Linked DNA regions of Neurospora crassa OR74A. The protein of the gene in region 1 interacts with the protein of each later gene in a biochemical or structural test. Links are inferred from orthologs where the notes say so. Each region holds a gene or a part of one and is shown on either strand. Other genes may lie near its edges.

Region 1 (3,602 bases):
GGGCAAGATCGACCAGCTCTTGAGTCGGCTCATCATTGGCTATGCGCTTGGCGTAGACCTCGCCAATCTCGAGGGCGAGATGGCGAACGTACTCATGACCCCACGAGCCAATGTCCTGTGTTGGGGAAAGAAGTCTGTATTTCAGAGTATCCTGGCGGTCCTCGTCCGAGTATGTCATACCGATCACCGATAGAACATCTGCGAGAGATGACTTATCATCGCCAGCGGGCCACTCGTCGTAGAGTTTCGTCATGGTTTCATAATGCGGGCGCAGGAACTTGAGCGGCTTCGGTACCGCCGTCATGGAGGATGTGGATGTCTTGATAGAGTTCTTCATGGCCTCGAGGGCCGGCTTGTAGAGGGTCGCATCGGATTCCTGAAGACATTGTACTGTTAGAGAAGCCGGTCTTCAGCCTGTATCACGTCATTGCGAAGCACCAACCGTTAGCCGCTCAACGAGCATCTCAAGCTCGCTCTTGAGCTGCTGATCCTCTTCACTGAGTTCCTCGGAAGCTAACGCAAAGCGCTGTCAGCAGAAGCCCGGCGCCGATACCTCAAGTCGGTCGGAGTGGCCGAGAAACCCACCATTCTGTTCCTCCTCCTTCTTTCCGTTTGCGGGGGTCTTTCCATCGACATCTTGGTGCTTCTTCTCGTCATCGACGGCCTTTCCCTTGCCCTTATCGGCCGTCTTGGACAGGTCGCTTTCTTGCGCCATGATTACTGGCCGTGATGGTTGTAGGTGGGAGGATTCGCGGAGCCGATGGGTCCAGTTGGAGGGGAAACCAAGGTCGGTTGGGCTGGCCGGGGTAGGTGGACGCGGCGGTGGCGTTCGCTGCTGCAAGAAATGTTCAAGTTTTGTCACCGAGTTTGCTTGAGCGACAGGAACTTGAGCTCCAGTCGTGAGCAGAATGTCAAAATCAAAAGTGGATGAGCTGGCTGCGGTTGTTTGGAGGTTGTTATGTTGTTCAGGTGACGGTTTTGGAGGTTGGAGCTTTTGCAGGTTCGCCCAGAAGCACCTCAGTTGCTGAAAGCCAGCAAAGGTCAGTGGCAGTTACGGTACTAACGCCAGGGAGCTCCGATGGTGGTTACGCGACTCGCTTGCCGCCTGAAGCTCCCCCGTCTGGCTGAGAACGCCCCTGCGATCCAATGCTGCCCGCCTCAAGTGGGTCTGGAAGCCTCGGTGGGGACGAGGCGTCATCAGAGCCTGGAAGATACAAATTCCGCTCCCCCCAAGCTTCTGATAAGATAAGCTACTGGCCTGGACCTGGCGCTTGACCGGGCAGGCACAGCTCAGCGAATGGAGCCCACGGCCAGCCCTATCTTATCGGGAAGATGTTATCGCAACCGTGCATTTGGAATTTGGGGGACGCCCACTTTCCATTCTGGACATCAGCTTTGCGCTTCACCCACCTTGACTTTGACTTTGACGAGAGCGTCGTAGACAGCAACCTAATAGCTCTCTTGGATCAATACAACATCAGAAAATCTCTCACAGCAATTAGGCCGACAATCACCTGAGGGGAAAAAACAAAAAACATCCAAAAAGAAACACACAATCATGTTTTTGGACACCAGAGTTTTACGCCATCTCACGGCAGAAGACTGGAGAGTCTTGACTGCCGTTGAGATGGGCAGCAAGAACCACGAGCTCGTCCCGACCCCTCTGATCGAGAGAATTGCCCGTCTCAAGGGCGGTGCCAGTGGTGTTCACAAGAGCATAGCGACCCTTGCCAAGTCTGGCCTCATCGGACGCATGAAGGAGGCCAAGTACGACGGCTACCGACTGACCTACGGCGGTCTTGACTATCTGGCCCTACACACCCACTCCTCGAAAGATGTCGTCTACAGCGTTGGCAGTCGTGTGGGTGTTGGCAAGGAATCCGACATCATGATCGTAGCCGACAAGACCGGCAAGCAGAAGATTCTCAAGATCCATCGCCTAGGCCGCATTTCCTTCCGTACCGTCAAGTCCAACCGCGACTACTTGCGCAACCGGCAAGGCGGCTCATGGATGTATCTCTCGCGGCTTGCGGCCATGAAGGAATATGCCTTCATGCAGGCTCTCCAAGAAGAAGGCTTTCCCGTTCCCGAACCGATTTCCCAGTCCCGACACACTATCGTCATGAGCCTGGTCGAGTCCCTACCACTTAGACAGGTCTCCTCGGTTCCAGACCCCGCGAGCCTCTACGCTGAGCTTATCGACCTCATCCTTCGATTGGCCAAGCACGGGCTCATCCATGGTGATTTCAACGAGTTCAACATTTTGATCAAAGAGGAGCGGACCACCAAGTACACGATCGAGGACGGCGAGGAGAAGGAGACGGAGACGGTAACCCTTGTCCCAGTCATTATCGACTTCCCACAAATGGTGTCTATGGACCACGTAAACGCCGAGATGTACTTTGACCGCGATGTCGAATGCATCAAGAGGTTCTTCAAGAAGCGCTTCCACTTTGTGCCCACACAACCCGGTCCTTTCTTCAAGGATGCTAAGAAGACGGTTGGCAAGGATGGAGCTAAGCGGTTGGACGCCACTGTGGAGGCTTCAGGATTTACCAAGAAGATGCTCAAGGAACTGGAGAAGGCTATTCAGGAACAACAGGCGAAGATTGATGCGGGTGAGGCTGTGGAGGAAGAAGAACTCGACGAGGACGAGGACGAGGATGAGGAGGATGATAGTGGAAGCGATACAGATGATGAGGAAGATGAGGAAGATCAACAAGAGGAAGAGGAACACGCCGTGTTCGAGATTCCGGCAAATGTTGGAAGGCCTTTGTCAGATGCAGAGAAGGGGCTGGAAAAGTTATCACTTGGCGGCAAGGGCGGCAAGCGAAGGGCTTGAAGCACATCGAGAGGAGAAAAGAAACGCGTTTCATGTCAGCTTTGAGATACCCCCAAATCCTATGCATTTCTATCAAGCAAATTTGTACTAAGACGTGCCAAGCAGGTTTTTAAGACTTTACGCTTATCAGTTTTTTTGCAACCCATATGTTGATTATGACACCCTCCGCAAAAGCAGTTTGACACACGTCACAATCGAATAAAGCCCAACTTGAATCACATTGAAACGTACTAATACTTTAGCTTCTGCTCCCACCTAACCTTCAAAGACCTCTGGCGGCGATGTCGGCTCTACTGACCATTTTCCGCCGCTGGCACGATAGGCTTCGGCACCGGGACATAATCATATGTGCCCGCCATACCCATCAACCAAACCTGACTGGGGTGCGCAGGAACCTTCTCTCCATACAAGAATGAGCTAGGAAACCCAATATCGAACGGAACCGCGCTCTCAATCTCGTCGATATCCTTGTCCGACAACGCCAGCGTGAGCGCCTCAATGTTACCCTTCAGGTGCTCGACCGACCGGCCGCCAACAATCGGGAACACGTACGGAGCCTTGTGCATCACGTACGCCAGGGCGACGGAGGTGATGGCTGTGTTCTTACGCTGCGCAATCTTCTCCAGAGCCCGGCTGATTTTGATCTGCTCCTCGGTCGCCTTGATCTTGCGGCCTTCGTTGGCTTGCTGCTGGCGCTGCTCCTCCGATTTGAAGCTGCCGCCCCCGAGGGCCCCCCAGGGCGCGAGCCCCATGCCTTCGT
Region 2 (3,730 bases), on another chromosome or scaffold:
ATGATGGCAGGGTGTGGAAGTCGAGCCGACATCTCTATCGACGGAGGCACTTCGGGCTCCGTTGCAAGTTTTCCATCAGCCGTTGTTGTTGTTGTTGTTGGGGCTGAAGATGACCCTGCATTGCTACTCCCAGTCCACCCGCTGAAGAAAGAAGCTCGTTTCTTGGAAGACGCGTTTGTCCTTGGGCTTCGTGGACGGAATGCAAAGGGTCGTCTGGCATAGGCTTCGTGGTTCGTCTTGGGCGGCCTTGGAGGCTCAATAGGAAGGAATTTCAAGCCGGTCTGCATCCTCCAGTTCTCCTTGAAAAAGCCCGGTCTCTGAATGGTAACCTTGACATAGTATCGAATCTCGCACTGGCCTGGGAATCCGGTGAAACTGGGTGGGAGCGTCTTTGTGACATGGGAGTACATCAGCTGCTTGGTGCCGTCCATAACACGAATGCCACCGAGACCGAACAAGCCAGAACCCGACGCGATTCCACCGGCACCAGAAAGGCCTCCTAGTTTGGCCATGGCGACAGGATCACCACAAGCATTGTTGAAGGGAAACTTGAACTGGAAGGGGAATCTGTGTTGACCAGCGGCTAGGACATAGGGCTGTGGCAAGGCGTTGGTCTTCTCGTCGGGAAAGGCCTGGGTGACTTTGTATAGGATCTTGTGGTTCTCGTAGATAACATCGCCGGTTGGAGTGCGCTCCCTCTGAGCAATGCCGGTCCCTGAGCCATCGGCGGGTACTCCCAAGGCCGACTTGGCTTCACCCTCGAGTTTGACGATGATGCCTCCGATCTGTTCGGGACGACTGAGAGTGAGGACGACCTGGCCGCGGATAATATCCAGGTTTGTGTAGAACTCGGGAGGGTTTTCGAGGGCGATCCGTATCGACATGGTTGCGATTGATTATCGTCAACTTCAACAGAGAAATGAGGCTATCACCACATGAACCAAAACAACAAGGAATAACCAGTGGGTCACACGCCCAGGTATGAGCCAAGGAGAAGATGATGGAAAAGAATCTGTTATTTTTTTTTTACAATCCGATTTCCTCGAACCTTGGGAGGGGGTTGGTATTATAGGTAGGTAGATGAAAATTCAAAGCCACTGCCTGTCTGCTTCGATGTGATCAGCTTCACACGGCAGTTAGGTGATGACGGGGAAGACCCTCACTGAAAGACCGGAGGATTTGCCGTTTAAGTGCTGGGTAGCAATTTGAACCCGCCGCACATGTTTAGGGCGGCCTCCGCTGTTACGTCAGACGGGGAATCATCGGTCGGAAGTGGCCGAGGTGCCTGGATTCCACTGATGTTTCCAGTGGGCTGGGCCGCCGCCGCCGCCCGCATGGTGTCTCAATGGGGAAAGCGGTCAGCCTTTTGCTTATCTTATCAGCCACATGTCTGGCGGGGCATCTTTTTTTCTGCCGCCTGATCCACTCAAAAAAAAGATGTCGGCCGGGGTCCGGCGCAGGCACAAGGAAGCTCTCTTCAGCCTGCGGTACCTCTGTCCGTCTCACAATAGAGGTACATACTACAGCCATTGCGCGACTGCCGTGACTTGAGAACGAACCGCCCAAGTCTCGACCCGGACAGAGATCGACCGAAACGACGAAACCCTCCATCGATCCCCCAACCTTCTCGTCCGACCTCGATTCCGAGTCGTCTTCCTCCACACACCTACCCACGACAGCATTGACTAGACTACACCATGCCCAAGGCAGCGAAGGCGTCCAAGAAGTCGGGGGGCGGCGGCAACCCCTACGATCGCAAGGGGGGCGGCGGCGGCGGCAAGGCTACCAACACCAACATCTTCAAGTTCGACAAGGACTTTGGCCAGCATATCCTCAAGAACCCCGGTATCTCGGATGCCATTGTCGACAAGGCCTTCCTCAAGCCCACCGATGTCGTCGTCGAAGTCGGTCCCGGTACCGGCAACATCACGGTCCGCGCCCTTGAAAAGGCAAAGAAGGTCATCGCCATCGAGCTCGATCCTCGTATGGGTGCCGAAGTTACCAAGCGTGTCCAGGGCACTCCGCTAGCCAAGAAGCTCGAGGTCATTCTCGGCGATGTCATCAAGATGCCCGAAATGCCTCCATGCGACGCTCTCATCTCCAACACTCCCTACCAAATTTCCAGTCCGCTCATCTTCAAGATGTTGGCCATGCCCAACCCGCCCCGCGTCGCCGTACTCATGTTTCAAAGAGAATTCGCAAAGAGACTGGTGGCTCGGCCGGGTGATGCTCTCTACTCGAGATTGAGTGTCAATGTCAACTTCTGGGCCACATGCAAGCACATCATGAAGGTCGGCAAGCAGAACTTCAAGCCTCCTCCCAAGGTCGAGTCCGACGTCGTCAGAATTGAGCCCCTTGTTGGTTCGGCGCGCCCCAACATTGCTTTTGAGGAGTTCGACGGTCTCCTTCGCATTGCTTTCAACCGCAAGAACAAGACCCTTTATGCCGGCTTCAACCAGAAGGAGGTCCTCAACATGTGCGAGAGGGTACGTTTCTTCCCATGTGTTCACAAGCTCCAACTCTTACTGACCACTTCGTTTCCAGAACTACAAAGTCTACTGCACCCTCAACAACATCCCCATCGACGAGTCCCTCGCTTCCGCGGCTGACCTTGCTGCCGCCGGCGCCACCAACGATGCCATGGACGTCGAGATGGACGACGACAACGAAGACAATGATAACGAAGAGAACAACGACGATGACGAGGCTATGGAGGAGGATGAGGACGAGGACATGCCCGTCTTCTTCAAGGAGCAAAACGACGCCAACGCTAAGGACGCCAAGACACCTAGCAAGAACCCCAAGTCCAAGGTGGCCTTGATAGTCAAGGCCAAGTTGAACAAGGTGCTTACGAGCACCGGTTTGGCGGACAAGAGAGCTAGGCAGTGCGATCAGAACGATTTCCTCAAGCTGTTGCTTGGTACGTTTTCTTCCCCCTCGGCTTCCCTTTCTGATGGACAACCTCGCTAACACTCCTGACAGCGTTCCACGAGGAGGGTATTCACTTCTCTTAGACGTGTGTTATTATTGCGAACACGCACAGAAATCATCGGCGTACGGGGCGTTTTTTGGGGATTGGGAAAATGTCGTTTTTTAAAAATTCTTTGTTTTGTTCCATTTGTCGTGGAAATACCATTGATCTGGATGCTAGGATTTGCACAATCATAAAAGCCAATGAATCTGGCTGCCACTTTTGCCAGGAATCGAACCATAATCATCTTTCGTTTGGATTGCTTGAGCGTCGGATGTTGTTCTCTTCGTCACGTTGCTCAAACATTGCTGAGAAGCAATTGCTGACAATACCAGACCTACCGCATCGAGATGTCTTTTATAATAAAACCATGGATCGGGGGAGTGGTCAGTGACCTACGGGACCGAGTCCTTGGAGTAACAGGGAAACGGAAAGCACAGGAGAGCAAGCTGTTTTCCTACCCTACCTCTCTCAGTAACAGGCGCCGAGTGCGTCGTTACCAAGCCAGAAAGCGTGGAAGCCTTCTTTCGATAGCTTGTCAGTTGTTCAAAACCATTGAAGAGGGGCAAAGAAAAAGAAGAAGAACAAATGGTGACCGCAACTTATATTTTGGAAAGCACGACACTGGATACTAAAATGTGTCGCCGTTCTTGTCCTTCTCTCCTCCACTCCTCCATTCTTCGACCTCCATCCTCCGCACCCAACACCCATAGCCCAAAAACCACGAAGGTCTCAGCACCCATGCCATCGCCGGCGTCC
Region 3 (3,522 bases), about 860 kb from region 1:
GTCTACATCAAGTAGTGTATGACCTGGAGAATAAACATGGAGACTGGGTTTTGGGAGACGTTATTCGCACATTTCTTTAGCTGTTATGGGGTTGGAGTTTACCGGGCTTATTCGTCAGGCCTACGAAATCGGCGGTGACTAGTGGATTATTGTTTTTGCTTAAAGTTGTGACAGATGATTACGGAGTTTGGAGTGTTGCAAGTCCTTCCAGGACACGGTTCATGGTGCGGAGGTGGTACCCTAGCTCTTCAGAAGATACCCATACGTATATCACTTTTTGCTACGTCTTGCCTTCACTTTATTTCAACAAGCTTGATGAGTCATGGGAGTTGGTCAGTCAGAGCACAAAAAGAGCCTCCTCGGGTTAAGATGGTCTCATCCCACCTATCGTAGGTGAATATCGAGGGGTTTGACTATGCTCTATCTGCTATTTCGATATACGGTTCGCCATCTGGACTGTAAAACAAACAAGACCTTTACTTATGCGGAACAAGCGAGATAAGAGAATGGATGGAAATAACTACTACTTGTATGACCTGAAGAAACCAATCTATCGTGGCTCACCTGGCTACATTGGTGCCCATCACATCAGCTCCTTACATTTTGCTTGATTTGCCGTCACCATGGAATTGAACCTCAACCAAATGAGCGCACTGGATCAGTTTCCCACATCACTTTCTCTGCACAATAATCGACCTTGCCAGCCAATATGCACTAAACCGCCTTTTGGTGAATATCTCTGTTCATTGTCTTCTCTTCTCGTCCTCCGGGTATAGATCATAACCACACATTGAAAGATTCGCAAGGCGGTAGCTCCCCAATATCCCGTCCTCTTCCTCCCGCTTCTACACACCTTCGTAGATATCCCCAGCATGACTGACTGAATCGCCCATTTCAAACTCTCCAAACTCAAAGCAAAAGCATAATGAACTCCTAAACGCCAGAACCCTTTTTAAGCGTAGCTCCCGAAATGCCACCTTCGCCCCTTATGTGATGAAAACCGTCGATTTTTTGTTGACTGAACCATGCAGCCCCGTGCGTGAACCATTCATTAGGTGAGAATAGCGGCAATAGAAGTGTAACACATTGTTGCCGTTTTTCGTGAAAGAAAGAGCTTAGAATCTCTCCTTTTGCCTCGAGGCAATGATCCGGAGGTTGTTGTACACCTTGCCGGGCTGGTGTCCGAGAATGAGGGAGACGACGGACTCGCGGGCCATGCCAATGTTCTCGAAGGCACCGAGGATATGAACGCGGGAGCCGGCGAGGACGATTCTGGTTTTTGTGGCTTTTCACATCTTGTCAGTACTTCTGCGTCATCTCTTCCATTCTCCCATAATGGTGAACGTACCATTCTCAATCGCAAACTTGGTCTTTCCGTCCTTGCCTGCAATACGACCAATCGCACGTCCCAGAGCATCGGGGCCAAGGGTCTGACGGACATCCTTGACATCGAAGGACTGGATATAGAGCGAATCGAGACGGAGCAGGGCAATGGCGTCGTCAATGTCGAAGCCCATGGCGAAGGCGGAGACGAAATCGGCACCCATCTGCAGGGATTCGGGGGTGGTGGTGTGTCTGCTGGAGCGGAGCTCGACGCGCTTCTCCTTGATGTTCATGCGGACCTGGAGCTTGCAGTGCTCTACAAGTGGGGGGTAGCTGATTGGAAAACAGTCAGTCTTCCTTGCCCAAACATTCACACATGTTTCCGTAGTTTTCCGTCTCACATCTTGGTCCAATTGGCCTTGAGGGCCGACATGCGGTTTGGCGGGATACCAATTTTCCTGGTCTCTGCGCGGCGAATGATCTGGACGTCCTGGCCGGGGGCGAAACGGGGGCGGCCCTCCTCGTCTACAGCCATCTGCACATCTTGGTCATTGGAAGGGGGAGCGGCGGCGCTGGGATCGGTGAGGTTGACGGCCTCGTTGACATCGAGAATGAGCTCGTCCTCTTGCTCGGTCTGGATAGGAATCTGGGCGGCGGGAGCCTTGACAGGCTGACGAAGTGCTGTTGGCGCAGGCATGTTGGGCGAGATGTGTTGTTTATCGGTGGGTGATGGTCAAGGGGCCGAGTCGGGTTGTTTGTTGATTAAAGTCGGTAGTATTTTGGGAAATCGCCGGCCAAGAGTAATGGCAGATTTTTCGAAAATCGGGTGGAGGAGAGACTGGTGACGGGCGACGAAAGAAGTGTCGGGATGCTGGGTTACAGTCGTGAATTGCGGAGATCTGGGAGTCGAAGTTCTGCCTTTTTGCGCCGTCGGTCTCTAGAATTTTGATGTTTATCGATTTTGATAGCGCAGAGGGGAAATTCTTGACAAAAAGCAGTGGATCCACAAAAGAGTACCCAAGTGAAGCTTATCGATTGGCTGCATGGGGGCTAGGACCCTTGCCAATCGCAACGCCCATGCACTAACAGTTACCGAGGAATCCCTGTAATCCCAAGGTTAGCGTCATTGACGCACTTTTGACGGGGACCTGGACCGGCAGCTTTTTCAAACTCCAGGTTCTTGGTCAGAGCAGGAGCACCATCATATGTCATTCTAGACTCGGCCCACCACCAAGCAACAACATCTGATTTTCAGCCTCGAGGACCGACCATGGATACGGCACCGAGCTGTCGTCATCACCATCGTCGCTGAAAACATAGGAAAAAAAAAAGGAACAGGTCGGTCCCTTACTCGGTCGACAGTATGAATTTCAACAATGTCTACTAGCGCTACGACGACCCAGCTGGGCCGCCAGCTATGGTCTTCAGTACGAGATCTTCACACCACCTCGAATCTCTTCACAGCCGCGATACTGCTTCCAACTTGTCAGCCATTACTGAGTCGTCAAAGTCTTGGACTTGGCCCCTCGACATCGCTGGGGTCCCATCAGCGATACGGACAGCAGCAGAGCACGCGACAATTTACCTCTTCCGCAAGTCGCTTTTTCTTCCCAGCAACAAAATCGCAAAGACTACACTATCAACAGTCACAACCATCCCATAATGTCCTACGAAGCTGTACCTCCGGAGGCCTACTCCTCCTTGGGCTCACCACCAGCCCCTCTCCAACGAGCACGGTAGAGGCATCCGCACTATCCGGCAATGCCGCGCAAAAGGCAAAAATGGGCCACTTGGCTCGGCAGGCTTTACTCTTGCGAAGGATACGACAGAACACCACGACCACAACGTTATGCAAGACAGGAAAGCGATTCCAAAGTTCGGGCAAAGAGACCAAGGGTGATCATGACGAGACCAAGGCCGAAGCCAAGTCTTCTACAATTTCTCCTCAGCAAAAGTCCGAGCAACCACAGCAGCCACCGAATACCGAGACGGCTTCCGGTTCTGGTTCCCAGCCGACTCCCGCACATGAATCAATAGCAGATTCCATGTCTAAATACCTTCACCTTCCTCACCTCCCCCATTTGCCTCATCGGCCCACAAAAGAAGAGCTTCTGGCGGCAGCAAGCGGGTTCTGGTCGCGTCTCAAGGTCCGATTCAAGTGGTTCTCCATCAGGAGCATGCGCCCCTGGAACGCCGACG
Region 4 (4,148 bases), on another chromosome or scaffold:
GCAGTCCTGTCCTGTTGTCACCATGTAGCGGCCTTCGCGGTCGACAGCCATGGATCGTACGGGACCACGGTGGGCAAGGAGCTTGACCAGAGGTTCTGACGAGTTGGGCGACCATAGCGTTACTGTGCCGTTCTGGTGACCAACATGGAGGATAGCGTTCCAGGGGTTTTGTGTCATGGAAACGGGTGTGCCCAGCTTCGTTGCGATTTCGGTGACGATCTGACCGGTCGATGTGTCCTGGTACTTGAGCTGGCCGTTTGTGCCCAGGGTGGCCAGCAGGAAGTGGTAGGGGAGGAATTCGAGGTGGGAGACTTCGACGTGTTTCCTTAGGCAGTGGAGCTCGACGCCCTGCGAGTCGTAGATGTAGGTGTACTTCTTCTGAGCGACGGCAAAGTATTGGTTGTTGTGTAGCCACTTGACGTCCCTGATGGTCTCTCCCAACTGCAACTCACAGCCCAGCTTGCCGTCTCTCCAGTCCATCGTAGCGACATGGCCCTTTCGTCCTGCCAGAATCAGATCCCGGCCATTCCTCGAAAAATCGCAAATGTAAGGGCCTAGTTGGTCGAGCTTCAAGTCGAACTTTTTCTGGGCGACCTCAATGTTGACTTCGCTGACGATGTCCTCCTGGCGAACCTTGTATGTGCGTTCCTATCGTGACCAGCGCGGTTAGTATCGCGCAAGAGGCTATAAACTCCCAAGCCATGGCTACTCACAAGCTCATGTTCAGCCTCGAGGAAACCGCCGGCATTCTCGAGAAGGATTTCGGCCTCCTTGGCCTTTAGCGTGGCCGTCTGGTACTTTTCTTCGAGGTTGGTAAGGTTGCGCTTGAGCTTTTTGTCCTTGACGTTCTTGACATCGATCTTGCGACCACGGCCGTACGACTTCTCTGCTGCCTTGACTTTGCGGATCTTGTTGGCCTCGGCCTTTGATCGGAACTCGCTTCGGACGTTGTTGATGGCAACGGCGCCGCTGGGCTGCTCTGCCCTCGAGAGGGAGATTTCGGCCCTGTCTGTAGTCTCCATGGTGCCAATGGGTCGACGCGACACAATGGGAATGGGTAATATGTGTGGTGGACTAGGACAGTTGGATCGGCGACGGGATATGGATGGGGGCTGAATATGGAATTGGTCTGGCGGTTTCTCGGTGTGCCCGTGTCTGTCCCTCGCTTTGGCACTTTGAATGTTTCCTTTCCTCGACAACTTTTTTGGGGCCGGACCCACTAAAAAGTTGGATGGGGCAGCTGTTCCGCAGCGATCATTGGCTCCACTGCGTACAAGAGTCCGATAAGATAAGTAGCGAGACGGCCGCCCATGTTCGCACAACTCAAAAAAATGCAACGAGTGCCCCGCCATTGACATTGTCCCCATCACTTTATTCGATACTCGATAGACGGATTGTGACCAGAGAGGTTCTCGAAATCTCTTTTCAGTCCCAACCCCCCAGCCTCTTCTCTTCATCGCCTCCCCAGGTCCAACATCCTGGCGTCAAACTCGCTCCCTTTTCGGTTCAAAGCAGGCGGCGATTCCAGCAATATGCCCGGCGCCGTGAGCGGCCACTCGCATCGGCCGACGACCAAGGCGTCGAACAAGCCCTTCAAGTCACGCCATTCTACCAAGGGTGCTCTCCGGAATGCTGCCAAAGGTACGGATTGCATATAACAGCCGTGCCTCATGCCAAGGTTGTTGCCTTGGACTATGCTCTACTTCACCCAACTTTGGCGCACCAAGCCCAAGCAGACATGAATATACAGCTGCATATAAAGAGGTCGACAACGTCCACACAGCGCTAATACTTTCAACATTCTATAGGCAAGGTAGCCGAGGAGAGAGGTGTGCGCAAGACCCCCCATCAACAAGTCATGTCCAAGTTCGACCGTCGCAACCGTAACAAGCAGCTTCAGCTGCAAAAACACAAGGAACATCTCCAGGAGACCTCCATTTTCGCCGGCAAGGATGGTGCCCCCAGAAACGTGGCCGTTATCCCCCTGTGCAGCGACGGTGACGCTACCGAAGCCATCAAGAGCCTGAACGCCAGCATTGATATCGAGACCGAGGTGCCCGAGGGCGCATTCCGCGTTCCCGTCGACAGATTCAAGCAGAAGCTTCAATACTTCCCCCTCAAGCGCGACCTTACCGCCTGCCTGGACGCTGCCAGAGTCGCCGACTATGTCGTTCTCGTTTTGTCCGCGCAGGAAGAGGTCGATGAACTTGGCGAGCTGATCTTGCGCAGCGTTGAAAGCCAGGGTCTCTCTACCCTCTTCACCGTCGTCCAGGGCCTCAACAAGATCGAGCCCCAAAAGCAGAGACTCTCCGTTCTTTCGTCTCTCAAGTCCTACATCACCCACTTCCACCCCGAACAGGATAAGGTCTTCAGCCTCGACAACAGACAGGAATGCTCCAACCTCATGCGCTCGCTATGCAGCACTACACCCAAGGGCATTCGCTGGAGAGACGAGAGGAGTTGGATGCTTGTGGAGGAGGTCAAGTTTGGTGAGTCTACCGTGCTTACCGGTGTCGTCAGGGGCAAGGGCTTGAAGGCCGACCGCCTGGTGCAGGTTGGCGATTGGGGCACCTTCCAGGTTGAGAAGATCACAGCAGCTCCCTTGGCCAGGAGGAAACGTGGAGAGGAGGGCATGAACGTGGAGGAGGGCGCTGAGGAGATTCTCGACCAGCCTACCGACGACCGCGATGATCTTGTCGACCTTGCGCCCGAGGAGGTTCGCATGGAGGACGACGACGATGACGAAATGAACGACGGAATGACCACAATGACGACTTCAAAGAAGGGTGTTTTGTTGGACGACCACCATTACTTCTCAGAGGAGGAGCCCGAGGCTTATACTGCGCCAAAGAAGCTTCCCAAGGGTACATCAAAGTACCAGGCTGCGTGGTACCTAGACGACGATGTGTCTGATTCCGGCTCAGATATGGAAGAGGACGATGAGATGGAGGACGACGACGAGGAAGAGGCCGCCAGGCCAGAGGATGGCGAGGAGGGTCTTGCTGGTTACGCGCCAACAGAAGCCGGACAAACCGAGTACCCACAAACTGAGGGCGGCTTCATCCAACCTGATGCTGATGAGGATGCCAAGCAACTAGAGGCTTTCCGCAAGCAAAAGCGGGATGAGGCTCAGGATGACCTCGAGTTCCCTGATGAGATCGAGCTCCACCCCCACGTTCTTGCTCGTGAACGTCTAGCCAAGTACAGAGGTCTCAAGAGCTTGAGGTCAAGCCCTTGGCAGGAGGATGAGGACCGCGCATACCAGCCAGAGGATTGGGAGCGCTTGTTGAAGATCCAAGACTACCAGGCCTCCAAGATCAGGGCGTCTAGGGAAGCCCTTGTCGGAGGTGTTGCTCCTGGTACCCGCGTCCACGTTTACCTTAAGGACGTGCCCGCGACCATCCAGCAATCCTACAACCCCAGCCAGCCCGTCACTCTATTCTCCCTGCTCAGGCACGAGTACAAGAAGACTGCTGTCAACTTCCTCATCAACCTGAGCGCGGACGCTGCCGCACCCATCAAGGCCAAGGAGGAGTTGATCATACAGTGCGGTCCCCGCCGCTTCGTCATCAACCCGCTCTTCTCCCAGGGCGGCAACACTCCCAACGACGTCCACAAGTACTGCCGGTACCTGCACCCCGGCCAGTCGGCTGTCGCTACTTTTACGGGTCCTGTCACATGGGGTGCTGTACCCACCCTCTTCTTCAAGAGGCAAGTGCCGGGCTCCGTGCTTGACGAAGATGGCGAGCCCGTCTCCAATCTGCCGCTCAGCCTCGTCGCCACCGGCACTGCCCTGCCCCCCTCGACATCGCGCGTCGTCGCCAAGCGTGCCATCCTTACCGGTCACCCGTACCACATCCACAAGAAGATTGTCACCATCCGCTACATGTTCTTCAACAGGGAGGACGTTGAGTGGTTCAAGGCTCTGCCTCTGTGGACCAGGCGTGGCAGGAGCGGTTTCATCAAGGAGGCGCTGGGTACCCACGGTTACTTCAAGGCTACCTTTGACGGGCGCATCAACCCTCAGGACTCTGTGGGCGTCAGCTTGTACAAGAGGGTGTGGCCCCGGAGTGCCAAGCAGCTGGGTGCGCCTCTGCTGGATGCCGCGGCGCTCCAGCAGGAGGTTGATGAGGACGCTATGGATGCGG
Region 5 (4,232 bases), about 320 kb from region 1:
GCAGGTGGGTTTCCCGAACAATGGGGTAAACACTGATGCTCCTCATCAAATCGCGGCCAGCTCTCGTTGTGGTGAGGAGAGTAAGAGTTTCTAGGTGTGTCAGGATGTTGCTGCTGTCGGGATCGCGCTGCTTGTCTGGAGGCAATAGCTGAAGATCGGTAAGCATTTCCAATGCCTCATCCTCGGGATAAACTTCGCCGCCCATGATAGGAAGTAAAATGTAGGGTAAGATATTGACGTCATCCTCATCCAAAAACGCCGGGTGCGAAGGAATGTCAAAAGCAGCGTTCTTGATAATGCTCGCCACTCCCTTTCGCCTGATATCGGACTTGTGTTCGGTAAAGACCTTGATCTTGTTGATTGGAATAACATCGTCGTAGTCCTGTCTGTTGACAAAGTAGTGCCGGATCTCTTCATGTTTCGAAAGGTCGGCAAAGACGTAGGAGAGGTAGTCGTAATCGGCGTGCTTGTTGTAAGTCCCGTCGGCGCCCTTGACGAAGAGGTCCATTAGTTGGTTAATGACCCTATCGTCGGACTTGAGCTTCTCTGGAGCGGGCTGTTTCCGGTCTAGAAGACTTTTGAGTCCATCCCACTTGGTCAAGTTTGCCAGCAACATAGCCATAAGATTGGCGTTAACCTCCTCGGGCTCCTATAGGAACGGGATCGAAGCGGTTAGTCCTTGCTGCGCACGCACCGTAGGAGCTCAGAATGGATACACATACGACAAGAAGCCCGAGGAGGATTCCAAGGAAGCGATCATCGGTCGCGACGTATTCCAGCACATCCTTCTCGGCAGTCAAGTTGATCAAGCATGTTAGGGCGTGCTCGGCGATTTTCTGCACATGGTACCGACGTCTTAGCTGAAGCTGCTTGGGCGCAAACAAGACAAGTCTGTTGGGCCTACCGGGTGGTCGCGGATCAAGAACTTGAGATGCTTGATGGGGGTGAGCTCGTCGGTCTTGAAGAGGGCGGGCTGAGACGCTGAGAAGGGCACCAGGTTCTCTGTCGCGAGAAGGCGGATGTTGGCGTTCGGCGAGGCAATGAAGCCCACGAGCTTCAGGCGATTATAGCGATTAGTTGTCTGTCCACTGACATTGACACTGCACTGGTTCTGGCAGAATTACCTCTTCAAGTTCGGTCGGCATGTTATCAATGGTAGCTGGATGTATGGTTGTATTGGACTTGCTATAAGCTCGTAACCGTGGCGAGCGAGGCTATGATGTCGCGACTTCCCTTGCTCTTATTCATGCAGTGGGCCAAGCTGCAAAAACTGTAAACACAGGGAACAAAATTCCAGGAATTTGCAACCGAAGAGGGGCACAGTGACGAAAATGCGGGGCAATAAAATGTTTATCGCTGCTCCGCCGGGCGCGTCCAAGCTAGACGATAAGCGATAAGAGGTATTGTACCGCTTATCATTTTCACCGCCCTGGCATCAGAAAATAAAGTGTGCCCACACAGCAAAGAAGTGACCAACCACAAGCGTAGCGCAAGCCTTTCAAGTGCCCAGACTTCTCCACGGCGGGAACAAATTGTCCAAGGGTCGCCGAAAAAAATATCCCCAATTGCCGTGTGCAGCCAAGTCGACATCGCAAAGAGAGGGGACAACCAGGAGAGCTCCGTATCATCAACTCTTCCCCCGATTGCACAACCCTACCGCCATTCAAGATGCCCAAGACAACAGCGGCGACGTCGAAGAGGCGCCACAACCCCCTCGAGGCCGACCTCGTTTCTACCGGCGTCCTTAAGAACAACTCCGGCAAAAAGAGCAAGAACACTCGCGCCGCCAACGACGAAGATGAGCAAAAGTATGTCGACGCCAAGGCTTCGCGCAACATTTTGGCTATGAGCCGTAGCCTCATCGAGGAGGAGGAGAACCTCCGGACAACACAAAACGCAGCCTCCGGATCTGCTCCTTCGGCGTTCGAGTTCGATCCATCGAGATTCGACCGCAACGATGACGAAGACGACAAGTTTGAGAACGACGAGGCCTGGGGCGAGGAAGAGGAGGAGGAGGTAGAGGAAATCGAAGTCGACGCCACCGATCTCGAGACATTCAACCAGTTTATCACACCCACAATGAACGAGGACCCGCTCCTAACACACGGATGGGATGGAAAGCCAGAAGGGGCAGAAGAGCAGGGTCAGAGCGTGAACCTGGCGGACCTTATTCTTGCCAAGATCGCAGAGAAGGAAGCCGGCGGCCCCCAAGGCGGGTACCGCGACGAGCCTGGCCCAATTGATGAGGATTACGAGATCCCCCCAAAGGTGATGGAAGTGTTTGAGAAGTAGGCTGGCCGTTATTTCTGTTACCCTCTTGGCAGACTACTGACAGACTCCTTCTCGCAGAATTGGCATGATTCTTTCTCGCTACAAATCTGGGCCGCTTCCCAAGCCTTTCAAGGTCCTTCCTCAGATCCCCCACTGGGAGGACATCTTGCCCATTACACAACCCGAGTCCTGGACTCCCAATGCCTGGTATGGTTGCTTCTTCCTGTTTTCGGGAGCCAGAGAAACGCTGCTGACATTTGCGATTGTTAGCTACGCGGCCACCAGGATATTTGCGTCCGCCAAGGAGGCTGTTCTTCAACGGTTTATGGAGATGGTGATCTTAGAACGCGTCCGCGAGGACATTCACGAGACCAAGAAGCTCAATGTCCATCTTTTCAACTCCCTAAAAAAGGCCCTCTACAAGCCTGGTGGTTTCTTCAAAGGTGTGTTATTTACTGCCTACGCTTAGTCAGGTTTGCTCAAAAGGGACAACCCAGCTAACCGTTGGCAGGCTTCTTGTTTCCTTTGGCGGCTTCCGGAACGTGCTCGCTGCGTGAGGCGCAGATCGTAGCCGGTGTTTTGACCCGGGTCACCATTCCGGCTGTTCATTCCGGTATGGCCATTAAGGGCTTGTGCGAAATTTCTTCTGCGCAGGCTTCTCAGCGCCTCGACTGCGTTAGCGCTACGAATTTCCTCCTCAAGACTCTGATTGAGAAACGTCACGCCTTGCGTAAGTCCAATTCCTAGCGTGCCAATGATTGTATTCTCTGACTTTGTAATACAGCCTTCCAAGCGCTCGATGCCCTCGTCTTCCACTTTCTTCGGTATCCCGCTTTCGCCACCGGCGGGCATATGGCACCCAACGCTTTACCAGTCATCTTCCATCAGTGCATGCTCTCATTTGCACAGAGATACAAGACGAACAGTGAGTTTGCTTCTTCCGTCGCTGTTTCACTATGCGTCCCTATTATTTTTGAGTACTAACCGCGGTCTTTGTGTAGTTACTGAGGACCAGCGAGAGGCTCTCCTGGATCTTCTCCTAACTCACGGCCATGACAAGATTTCGCCCGAGATCAGGCGAGAACTTCTCGCAGGTCGCGGAGGTGGTGTCCCTGTCGCGCAACCCGGATTTGATGGCGATGACACGATGCTGGACGCTTGAAGAAACATCGGTGATCCGGTAATGACTTATAGACGATGAACCCTTGGTATGCAACGAGGACATGTGGCTCATTTTTACCTGGTACGCGCATAGAGATGGGAGTCGTGTTGTTTAGTGACCTTGGTGGCTTGGGGCAGTCCTTAGACATTGACCCCTTTGATAATACTATGTCACGCCTCGACAGTGGCTACTACTCATCACGCCGCTTGAAGAGGAAGTGGTCATGCCAAGTCAGTCACCATGTACTACCCTTTGTATCTTAGTGGTGCTGACCAACCAGCAACATAATTGTTGACGACCTGTAATGCTTTAGTGCACGAAATTATAAATTCAAGATACCCGGTACAGCAACAGGAATTGTCGAGGAGCCTTGGAATAATCATTTTCAGTTATGTGAAGGAAGCTGCCTTTTGACTTCTTTGTTGCGTCAATCTGGCTTGGAATGCCCTTCTCCCATTTTTCCAAGTCCAAGGCAACCGCGATCCTCTGCCACGTTGTCGGAATCCTGAGAGAACAGTGTAAAGGGAAAGAAGGCAATGTAGCTCTCGCCTACTTCGATATCTCGTGTATCTGATGGCATCATCCCGTATTAGGTGCTTTTACCATACGAGTTTCTAGTGTTCTCTTCCTAACACCCGGTCAACCCGAACATTCTAAGCACTCCGCCCCTCTCGTTTCCCTATTTATTCTTGAGATTGCTTTCTTACCCCGAGACACCAAGTTCTACTCAGTATTTCCGCAAGATCAGGATTTTCGGCGCTGCTTTCTGGCGTTTCGCCTAAGAATCCCGACACCACCT

The links.
Region 2: the proteins of rbg-40 (region 1) and NCU08968 are reported together in a solved structure, tested with the Saccharomyces cerevisiae proteins (2 studies listed by BioGRID, with this or other methods). The link is inferred for Neurospora crassa OR74A from reciprocal best matches to the Saccharomyces cerevisiae genes RIO2 and DIM1.
Region 3: the proteins of rbg-40 (region 1) and NCU07956 are reported together in a solved structure, tested with the Saccharomyces cerevisiae proteins (2 studies listed by BioGRID, with this or other methods). The link is inferred for Neurospora crassa OR74A from reciprocal best matches to the Saccharomyces cerevisiae genes RIO2 and PNO1.
Region 4: the proteins of rbg-40 (region 1) and NCU01503 are reported together in a solved structure, tested with the Saccharomyces cerevisiae proteins (2 studies listed by BioGRID, with this or other methods). The link is inferred for Neurospora crassa OR74A from reciprocal best matches to the Saccharomyces cerevisiae genes RIO2 and TSR1.
Region 5: the proteins of rbg-40 (region 1) and NCU08323 are reported together in a solved structure, tested with the Saccharomyces cerevisiae proteins (2 studies listed by BioGRID, with this or other methods). The link is inferred for Neurospora crassa OR74A from reciprocal best matches to the Saccharomyces cerevisiae genes RIO2 and ENP1.

What each region holds. Positions count from the first base shown.
Region 1 is NC_026504.1:2,085,397-2,088,998, reverse strand, and holds rbg-40 (serine/threonine-protein kinase RIO2), read left to right. Parts: upstream 1-1,394; 5' UTR 1,395-1,558; coding exon 1,559-2,842; 3' UTR 2,843-3,090; downstream 3,091-3,602. Other genes in the region: rpn-1 (26S proteasome regulatory subunit rpn1), read right to left, coding at 1-376, 443-513, 586-715; NCU07723 (norsolorinic acid reductase), read right to left, coding at 3,133-3,602. UniProt on the Saccharomyces cerevisiae protein: Required for the final endonucleolytic cleavage of 20S pre-rRNA at site D in the cytoplasm, converting it into the mature 18S rRNA. Involved in normal export of the pre-40S particles from the nucleus to the cytoplasm.
Region 2 is NC_026505.1:5,864,573-5,868,302, forward strand, and holds NCU08968 (dimethyladenosine transferase), read left to right. Parts: upstream 1-1,449; 5' UTR 1,450-1,697; coding exon 1,698-2,486; intron 2,487-2,544; coding exon 2,545-2,920; intron 2,921-2,982; coding exon 2,983-3,014; 3' UTR 3,015-3,220; downstream 3,221-3,730. Other genes in the region: NCU08967 (arrestin domain-containing protein), read right to left, coding at 1-884; NCU08969 (hypothetical protein), read right to left, coding at 3,574-3,730. UniProt on the Saccharomyces cerevisiae protein: Specifically dimethylates two adjacent adenosines in the loop of a conserved hairpin near the 3'-end of 18S rRNA in the 40S particle.
Region 3 is NC_026504.1:1,226,294-1,229,815, forward strand, and holds NCU07956 (pre-rRNA-processing protein PNO1), read right to left. Parts: upstream 2,272-3,522; 5' UTR 2,021-2,271; coding exon 1,725-2,020; intron 1,657-1,724; coding exon 1,349-1,656; intron 1,286-1,348; coding exon 1,116-1,285; 3' UTR 512-1,115; downstream 1-511. Other genes in the region: NCU07957 (hypothetical protein), read left to right, coding at 1-15; pod-1 (mitochondrion biogenesis protein), read left to right, coding at 2,700-3,522. UniProt on the Saccharomyces cerevisiae protein: Required for small ribosomal subunit (SSU) synthesis. Has a role in the processing of early nucleolar and late cytoplasmic pre-RNA species. Recruits DIM1 to nucleolar pre-RNAs.
Region 4 is NC_026502.1:3,251,155-3,255,302, reverse strand, and holds the start of NCU01503 (pre-rRNA processing protein Tsr1), read left to right. Parts: upstream 1-1,338; 5' UTR 1,339-1,532; coding exon 1,533-1,641; intron 1,642-1,808; coding exon 1,809-4,148. Other genes in the region: NCU01502 (small nucleolar ribonucleoprotein complex subunit), read right to left, coding at 1-648, 714-1,022.
Region 5 is NC_026504.1:2,401,668-2,405,899, forward strand, and holds NCU08323 (bystin), read left to right. Parts: upstream 1-1,504; 5' UTR 1,505-1,668; coding exon 1,669-2,288; intron 2,289-2,349; coding exon 2,350-2,478; intron 2,479-2,541; coding exon 2,542-2,714; intron 2,715-2,782; coding exon 2,783-3,001; intron 3,002-3,055; coding exon 3,056-3,196; intron 3,197-3,272; coding exon 3,273-3,433; 3' UTR 3,434-3,732; downstream 3,733-4,232. Other genes in the region: NCU08324 (DNA-binding protein HGH1), read right to left, coding at 1-649, 723-836, 905-1,054, 1,125-1,145; NCU16789 (hypothetical protein), read left to right, coding at 3,876-3,951. UniProt on the Saccharomyces cerevisiae protein: Required for normal export of the pre-40S particles from the nucleus to the cytoplasm.